2 linked regions of the Cricetulus griseus genome follow. The protein of the gene in region 1 interacts with the protein of each later gene in a biochemical or structural test. Links are inferred from orthologs where the notes say so. Each region holds a gene or a part of one and is shown on either strand. Other genes may lie near its edges.

Region 1 (4,392 bases):
GGGGGCGTGGGGGAAGTGACCAAAATATATTGTATTTAATAAATTTAAATTAAAAAAATAGCTTTGAAGATAAAACACTACCACATCTCTGCATCCACTCACCTATGTTCCTTATCCTTTCTGCCTAAACTACCTGCTGCTTCTAGTCACTTTATCACCCTGAATTTGAGTTTTCACTTGCCTTTTAGAGTTTGTTGTTTTCTTTAAAAAGCTATTATGGTACATCTTGTTTTATTGCTGTAAAGAGACACTGTGACTATAATAACTTTTATAAAACATTTAATTGGGGCTAGCTTACAGTTTCAGAGGTTTAGTCCATTATCATCAGGGCTGGAAGTGTGGTGGGGTGCAGGCAGACATGGTGCTGGAAAAGTAGCTGGATGTTCTGCATCTCGTTCACGGGCAGCAGGAAGAGAGACTCTAGGATTGGGATGGGCTTTTTGAAATCTCAAAGCCCACCCCCAGTGACATACTTCCTCTAACAAGGCTACACCTACTCCTTTCAAATAGTTCATAATTGAGCCTTGTTGTCTAACTATACTCCCCTTTATTTAGTGTACTCCATTGTTTGAAAGCCCTGTAACTATCCATTCCCCTGTCAGTTGGCATTTAAATCCCTAAGGACAGTGCCATGGTGAACAACCATGCCATTTGATTTGTAAATACACCAGGTAGACTTTGATACATATTAATAGACCTGGGCCTCTGAGAAAACATAATTATCAGAAACACTTAGGTGAAAGTTCTCAACTCTAGTATAATTGACATTGAGTGCAGCCCTCCTGTGCATTGTACAGTGTTGAGCATTGTCCCCAGCCTCTGCACCACTAGATGCCACTAGCCCTGAGAGGGTTATATGTCCAGTTACCCTCTGTTCAGAGCCAGGTCTGGGTTGAAAGGAGGACTGTGATGGGAATAATATACTCCAAATGCATGTTTCCATGGCAGGAATGAGTCAGCTGTCTAGTAGCATCCTCAAGCCTAGCTTGTTTACGTTGCACGGGTGCTGGAAGATGCAAAGAATAGCAAGTCTTGGCATTACAAAGCCTTTTCTGAAATAAGTGGTTGGTTTTCGATCAGAGTTTATTCTCATTAACTTTAGCATCTCTCCCCTCATTTTGTTTGGAGTGTTAAAAGGGAAGCCCCCAGTTGTAAATGGAAGGTTCACAATGATTGTGGTTAGAATACAAAGTAATTGGTTTCATCCTGGCTTCTTTGTACATATGTGCCATTGTACATTTTTTTTATTTGCTGTTTTTTAAGATGGTTTCACTGTATATCCCATGTTGGCTTTGCCCAGGCAATCATCTTTAGTGCTGATTATGGAGTAATGAAATTCTGCCTTTTTGACAATTTTTAAAATTTTTCTTTTGTGTTTCTGCTACCATGGAGAAGCATATTTAAAGACATGCTGTGTGTAGGTATTACTTGACCACCATGTAAACTATTTCTACTTTGTATGAAAGAATTCCTAGGATTTTATTTATAAATGTCATTTTTTAACATATATTAAAATGGTGCTCAAAAGATGGCTCAACAGTTAAGAGTATGCATTGGTCTTTCAGAGGACCCAGGTTCAGTTCCTGATATGTTGGGCAGCTCTCAACATCATATAACTCCAATACAGGTAGCCACATAACCCCAACACAGACATACACACATGTACATAATTCACAATAATAAAAGTAAATCTTTAGAAAAAATGTATGTAGTTCATAGAAACTAACCAACTATAGGTGATAATTGGTATGCAAGGTGAGTTGCTAGGGGTTTCTTATGGAGAACTAAAGTTATATATGCCAATTTCCAGCGTGAGAAGACAGTTGAAGTGAAGAAAAGTAAATCCTGTGAAGCCGATGTCTCCAGCGACCTTCGAAAAGAAGTCGAAGACCTTTATAAGCTTTCCCTGCCTGAAGATTTCTATCACTTCTGGAAGTTCTGTGAAGACCTTGATCCTGAAAAGCCAGCTGGTGAGTTCCTTTGTGCTTCTGTGACTGGAAGAGATGATAGGACACTGGAGGAAAGACAGAACCAACTCATAGAGAAAGGGGATTGCAATCAGGTATGGTGACACATGCCTATTACAGTCTCCGAAATTAGGACACTGGTTTGAGAGTTTAACGAGTTTCAGGCCAGCCTGGGCTACACAGTGAGATCATATCAAAAAAAGAAGACAGAGGAACATTCCCACAGTTTGTAATGAGAGCTATGTTGTCAAAGAAACAAATTAATACTTAACTGTAGTCAGTTTTTATGGCTGTGACCTGAGAAAAACAGCCTGGCAGGAAGACAGAGTTATTTGGAGTCATGGTTTTAAAGGTTCCTGACCCTGGTTAGTTGACTTTCTTGTTTGGGGGCCTGTGATATGTTATGCCAGAGGGATGTGTTGGGAAACTTGTGTACATCTTGGCAAACAGAAAGCAAAGAACATTAGGGTGCAAGAATCATAGGATAGGATGGAACCCTTCAAGTCATTGACCACTTCCTCCGGCCAGACCTTACCTCCTACTGGCCAGGTCACTTCTCAGTAATGTCACTAGCTGGGGCCCATGCTTTCAGTACATGAGCCTTTTTAGTTTAACGTCATACTCAAACCATAATGCTATAATATGCTACTGTCACCTATTGGCAAAGGCAATCGGTTTCAGGATATTCCTCCATGTACGTGTAAAGGAAAATTAGCAGTTGCATAAACTTGTCTTATAGACTAAGTAAACTAAGAATTTTCTTCAAGGATATTTACTGAGGGGTGGAGGGCTTAATGCTTGATTGTATCCTTCCTAGAAAAGCTGCAGGCACTGTGAGATTATCAGTTTGCACATCTGCACAGCCTTCATGGCACTGTGGTTTTCTTACTCTGCCCCCATGGTTGTGAAAACAGATGGAGTCATTGAGTGTTATGGTCCACAGTGTAGCTGAAAGTCAACAGAACCTGGAGTGCCCACTGAGGAGAAGGAAAGAAAATGGTTTTTTCTATCGTTGACCTATGTTGTCTCCCCCATAATCTGTGTATTTGTAGCTAATAGTGGATAGCAGTGAGGCAAGGGAAATGTGTGGCTCTTAGGCCTAAAAGAATGCAGAGCAGCTTGGCTTGGGCTACATGAGGGACAGGAATGTTTCAAATGTTAAGCTACTTCAGTAGTAGGTTTAGAGGGAATTCTAAATTTAGTGCCACATTTCTGTTAAACATTCTTCCATTGAGCAAAAACACTTTTACAGATTTTAAAAGCATTCTTTAAAACAACTTGCTTAAGAATTATTTGGAATCAGGAGGCAGGGGGAAGTGAACCTCTCATTTTGAGGCCAGCCTGGTCTACACGGTAAATTCCATAACAGCCAGGGCTACACAGAAAAACCCTGTCTCAAAATAAGAGAAAAAAAAAAAAAGTGATGAAAGGCATTATTTCCTACTTGCCTCTAGAAAGTGTTGCCTGAGTAAACTTATTTTCCTTATAGATGCACTTGCCACAAGCCTTGGACTTCGGTTAGTGGGTCCCTATGATATCCTTGCTGGGAAACATAAAATGAAGACAAAATCCACAGGCTTGAACTGTAATCTTCACTGGAGGTTTTACTATGACCCTCCTGAGTTCCAGACCATTATTATTGGAGATAATAAAACTCAGTACCACATGGGGTATTTCAGGTAAAAGATCATCTCTCTCTCTCAAATACAGCTGCTTTGGTATCAATGAGTCTTCCAGCCCTTCACTGGCATCCCCAAGGAAAGACTTGTTTCCTCTTATGGTGGCTCTGTGGTTTACCTATTGTTCTGGCTATCCTTCACCTCTGTAGCCTGCCTAGGCTGGTGAACTCTTTACATTAATCTTCCCTGATCTCTTTTTCTCTTCCAATATAAAGTTTTGTCCTTTGGGGATCAGAAGAGCTTGTTTGAAGCCCAAATAAGATGATGTAAACCAGTTGTTTGACTTAAACCATGCACTTCCAGGGGCCAAAGGACTCAAAAGATTGGTCCTGCCATTTATTATCTTGATGAGGGTATGCCAGTCAGTGGTGACTGTGGTCTTTCTGTGACTCAGTTTCTTAAAATTACAGAGATAATAGCATATATTTGATAGGAATATTATGAGAATGAAGGGAATGCCCGCAGATAGGTAAACTGTTAGCAGATAGGGTAATGTGAAAAATAGCTTGTGCACATGTAGCAGTAGTCCTGTGTTGTAAAGTCAAAGTGAAGTAATAGAAGAAAAGATGAGTCATGGCTACAGAGAAGTACTGTACAGAACACTCGTGGGGCTGAGAATGGGGTCAGATGGATTTTGTTCTTGGTTTTGACACTAATTGGCTGCTAGAACCTTAGCCAAGAATCTACTGGTTTCTTCAATTTTAAAATAAAATATACATGAATAAGATTCTTCAATTTTTTTTATA
Region 2 (4,576 bases), on another chromosome or scaffold:
TACTGATCTTTTGCTTGTATGTTATGGTTTCCAACTTCATGTTTTTAGGGGTTTGTTTGTTTGCTTGTGTGTGTGTGTGTGTGTGTGTGTGTGTGTGTGTGTGTGTGTATGCGTGTATATTTTTCTTATGCTTTTTCTGCCTTTATTTTTTATTCTTTTGTTTTGTTTTTCTGAGAGGGTTTCTCTGTGTAGCCCTGGCTGTCCCGGAATTCACACTGTAGATCAGGCTAGCCTTAAATTCAGAAATAGGCATGCCTCTTTCTCCAGAGTCCACAATTAAAAGCGATCAGCACCACACACACACTTTATTTTCTTTAATGAGCTTTGGGGTTTGTGTGTGTCGGTGGTGGCATGTGTACATATCACTTGTGATTTTTATTTATCTTTTAATTGTCTGTTTTCTAAATCAAGAGCAAGAAGGCATGGAGTTGCCGGGCATTGGTGGCGCGCGCCTTTAATTCCAGCATTTGGGAGCCAGAGGCAGGCGGATCTCTGTGAGTTGGAGACCAGCCTGGTCTACAAGAGCTAGTTCCAGGACAGCCTCCAAAGCCACAAAAGAAGCCCTGTCTCGAAAAACCAAAAAAAAAAAAAAAAAAAAAAGAAGGTGTGGAGTTGGATGGGTGAGTGGGGAGATGGGGAGGTGGGGAGAATCTGGGAAGAGATGAGGGATGGGAAACCATAATCAAAATTTTTATTTTTGAGTATTGGTCATTAGTTAATCTGAGGTATCTACACATGAGTCAAGTCACAGCTTCTGACCTTGGTAGGAAAGCCTGGCTTACAATGAACCCTGCTCCACTCCCATTTCAAACGCTTCTCCTAGCTCGTGCTCCTAGCTCGGCTCTGCTCTTTTCCTTGGTGAGGAATCCCCCAGCCTGTTCTTCTATGGGACTACAAGCTACAGGTTCACTTTTGCTTTTGATATGTACATATAATATATATATATAATTTATTCTTAATTGCAAGCTACATGCATAAGCTACATCTATTTTTTTTCTAAAGCCATAATATATATGGTCATGATGTCCAACTCTCTTCTAAATATTTGTTTTATGGGGGTTTACTTGGTTTCTTTCAAGACGGTTTCTCTGGCTTTGGAGGCTGTCCTGGAACTAGCTAAATATTTTAGTAAAATTGTACTAAATATCTGTTGTAATCGCAGATTTGCGCAGCTCTCAGGGAGTAGTTAAATGCACAGTTAAAAATGAGTAAAACAGAATTGAGATTTGGAAGAAAACATAGAAATATAAAAGGGCAGGGGAGAGTAGTCTGAATTGGGTTATGAGGTCCGCGAGGTACCTCACCTCAGCCATTGAACTCGATCTGCGCTGGCCGTGAGTCTGTTCCAAGCTCCGGCGAGGGAGGCATCCGCCCGCTCGGGGGCCTCTCCTGCCCAGTCTGCCCACGCGTGGAGCCCTGCTCTCTGGGAACTCACCTCCCCGCTCGGGGAGGGCCCGGTTAGGGCCGCGGGAGGCCCCAGTCTCAGACCTTCCCAGGGGCCGGGGAGTGACGAGCACTCAGCACGTGGCCCCGCTGATGAGCTTCCTCCGCCCACTACAGCCTGGTGAATGGCGGGCTTTATAAGGCTCCGGAGAGAAAGCGCTTTCTCAGTTATGGTGGTTTCCCACAAGGCACAGCGCACACTTTATTTGCATGCGATCTAGCGCAGGCTCCCGCTCCAGACAAGAAGCCCGCGCTTTTCGGCTGCTTATGATGACGTCGGGCCTCAAGCGCCATGGCGCCGCGGCGGCGGAGATCCAGCTGCAGGAGGCGAGGTGAGAACCGTGTCCGCAGAGTCAGAGGGAACAGCTCGTCTTTTCATTCTACAGTTCAATCCGAAGAGGCGTGTGGAGCCGTAACAGCAGACATAACTGCCAAGTACTGTTACTCACTAATGCCATGCAATTAAAAGAAGGTCTTCGTTATTGAGTGTAGCACTGCCAAAGGATAAACGCGTATAGGAAAGTGATTAACTACTTATGTCAAACTTTTAAAGATACAGCCGAGTTCAGAAAGTAAAATTCAGATCTCGGAATTGTTGGCTGTGGATTGCATACTGTGTTCTTAATTGTATCCTATTAAGTTACATACTATTGGTGTGGTCTCATTTTTACATTTCTTACAGCTGAGGTATGACCAACTCCAGGGTTCTGAAGCTTCAATAAGCTGGCTGTAAACTGGTCCAGACTGTAGAACACCTTATTGACCATGATCACATGATCTAGTTTGAAATAAGGTATGGAAGACCAAAGGTTAGCAGGCCCATGCCACAAGTAATGAACTTCGAACATCTCTGTACATTTATTTTTTTCCTGTTTTTTGTTAATATATGGTCAGGAGAGCACTTTAGGAAGGATTGCTTGGATTGTTTCAAGAGTAGTGAGTGGTGTGGCATTTATTTGTAAACGTCCAAAAGAACATCTTAAATTATTTCTTAAAAAATTATTTAATCTTTGAATATTATAAATATATATATATATATATATATATATATATATACATATATATATATATATATATCAAGTGTGTGTGTGCCTGGAGGCCAGAAGGAGGCGTTGGATACCCTGGAACTGGGGTTACTGACCCCAGTTGTGTCCCACCATGTGAGTGATGGGACTTGAACCCAAATCCCCTGACCCATCTTTCCAGCCCCCTTAAGTTCTTTCTTCAGAATTTGTTAGAACGGTGGGTGTATTGGCCCATTTAATCCTAGCCCTTGGGAGGGGCAGAGGCAGGAGGATCTCTGTGAGTTCCAGGATAGCCAGGGCTATGTAGACAGACACTATCTCAAAGTTAAAGAAAAGAAATTGTCAGAGGGCTAGAGAGTTGGATTGTGCTTTTTAAAAGCACTTGTTGCTCTTGAAGAGGACCTGGGTTCAATTCCAAACACCCACGTGGTTGGTCATAGCCACCTTACCAGATTTTATGCCTTCTTCTGACCTCCAGGTACACCAGGCATTCATGTAGTACACATGCATAATTGCAAACAAAACATCCATACATGTAAAAATAAAATCATAACCCCCCCCCTTTTTTCTTATTGTCAGCATATTCAAGGAAAGGGACACAACTCTGGTATCCCTGGCTGCAACCAAAGTTTTTTTCAGAGACCTCCACTCAGGCAAATTCTTTTGCTTAAATTAGAAATAAAAGAAGAGGCGCAGGATGAGACATGAGATGAGACATATTAACCAGTTTATTCTAGGCCCGACAGAGTAAAGAGACTAAGAGGGAAGAGGAACAGGGTTAATGGCTGACCGCTATGGCTGGTTGCCAAAGAGAGAGAGGCAGAGAGAAGAGACTGAGGGGCAGAGAGAGCGTAGGTGGGAAAGGAGAAGAGAGAGGAGCAGAGAGAGCATAAGTGGGCAGGAGTCTGTCTTTTAAAGGGGTCCTTTACACCTGCGTGCAGACTTAGTTCCCATGGAACCCTGAGCTGACCAGCATACTGCCTGAGTGGATTCCACCAGGTAACAGTGGCAGACCAGCATAATGCCTGACCTTTCACTCTTGGCTTTAAGGTAGAAAGGAATTTCAGGAGTATGCAAGATGAACCAGAGTTGGGAGTTTATTAAAAGAGATACTAGCATACATTTTAAGCACAAGGGTTAGAAGAAAAGAAATACCTGAGAAGAAAGACACCACAGAACATGCGTGTGGGCTTCTCTAAGAGGAGTTGCCCTTCTTTATAATAGAGATGTATGCAAGAGTTGTTAAAGAATTTAAATAAGATTGTATTTCCCGAGGTGGGTCTGACAGAATTACAATGTCAAAATCTAGATCATAAGGGATGCAGGAAGTTAGGTTTTTCTTCATGTAAACAATGTTCATCGTCTGTTTAAGATTTCCATAGAATGGGAGAGAAATGAGCCCAACCCCATTGCCATATATATCTAGGCGGTAAGCCCAATTGATTGTCATTTTAACATAAAAAATATTTGAGTATCTAGGTCAGCAATCTTCACAGCACATGTTAATTTTGCTGGAATTCTTGCTTCTCAGACTCTAGAGTGAGGGGTTCCTTATATTTTCCTCCTAACTTTTCCTGGTTTTTTTTTTTTTATTTTGCTTCGGTGTTGTTTACTTATTAGATCATCTTCTGTAGTAATTCTTTGCTTGTTGATCTTGCCTTTAGCTTCTGAGGTGCTAAATGAAGCCAAGAAAGTTAATAATGGCAGCAAAGCAACAGAAGACTTTCCTCCTGGCAAGAAAATGCGTACATGCCAGAGAAAGGGGCCTACGGCTGGAGGAAAGGATGCAGACAGGACAAACAGCCAGCAAGGTAACAGGCCAGGCAGCTCTCGGGCCTCTGAAGGAAGTGGGATGATATTTCTTCCTCTTTGAAGATATAATTAATTTCTGTATCATTTAGGCATTCTGCAGTACCAGTATACTTTGTCGAATCCTTTATTTTCATAGATTTGAGATGGATTACAACCTAGGCAGAAGACCCAGATTACTCAGGAAGGGCAAAGTTAATTATGACAGCTTTCAAGCCAAGACAGCCCTCTTGATTCCCACATAAGTACCAACAGTGCGCATTTCTGTTCCCTCAGACACGGTGAAGGCCTTGCTGATA

Evidence for each region.
Region 2: the proteins of histone PARylation factor 1 (region 1) and Parp2 form a complex in vitro, tested with the Homo sapiens proteins (2 studies listed by BioGRID). The link is inferred for Cricetulus griseus from reciprocal best matches to the Homo sapiens genes HPF1 and PARP2.

What each region holds. Positions count from the first base shown.
Region 1 is NW_023276806.1:238,645,547-238,649,938, forward strand, and holds the start of histone PARylation factor 1, read left to right. Parts: upstream 1-1,528; coding exon 1,529-1,546; intron 1,547-1,810; coding exon 1,811-1,970; intron 1,971-3,456; coding exon 3,457-3,646; intron 3,647-4,392. UniProt on the Homo sapiens protein: Cofactor for serine ADP-ribosylation that confers serine specificity on PARP1 and PARP2 and plays a key role in DNA damage response.
Region 2 is NW_023276807.1:206,468,649-206,473,224, forward strand, and holds the start of Parp2 (poly [ADP-ribose] polymerase 2), read left to right. Parts: upstream 1-1,649; 5' UTR 1,650-1,735; coding exon 1,736-1,775; intron 1,776-2,125; exon of another isoform or gene 2,126-2,236; intron 2,237-4,132; coding exon 4,133-4,279; intron 4,280-4,553; coding exon 4,554-4,576. UniProt on the Homo sapiens protein: Poly-ADP-ribosyltransferase that mediates poly-ADP-ribosylation of proteins and plays a key role in DNA repair.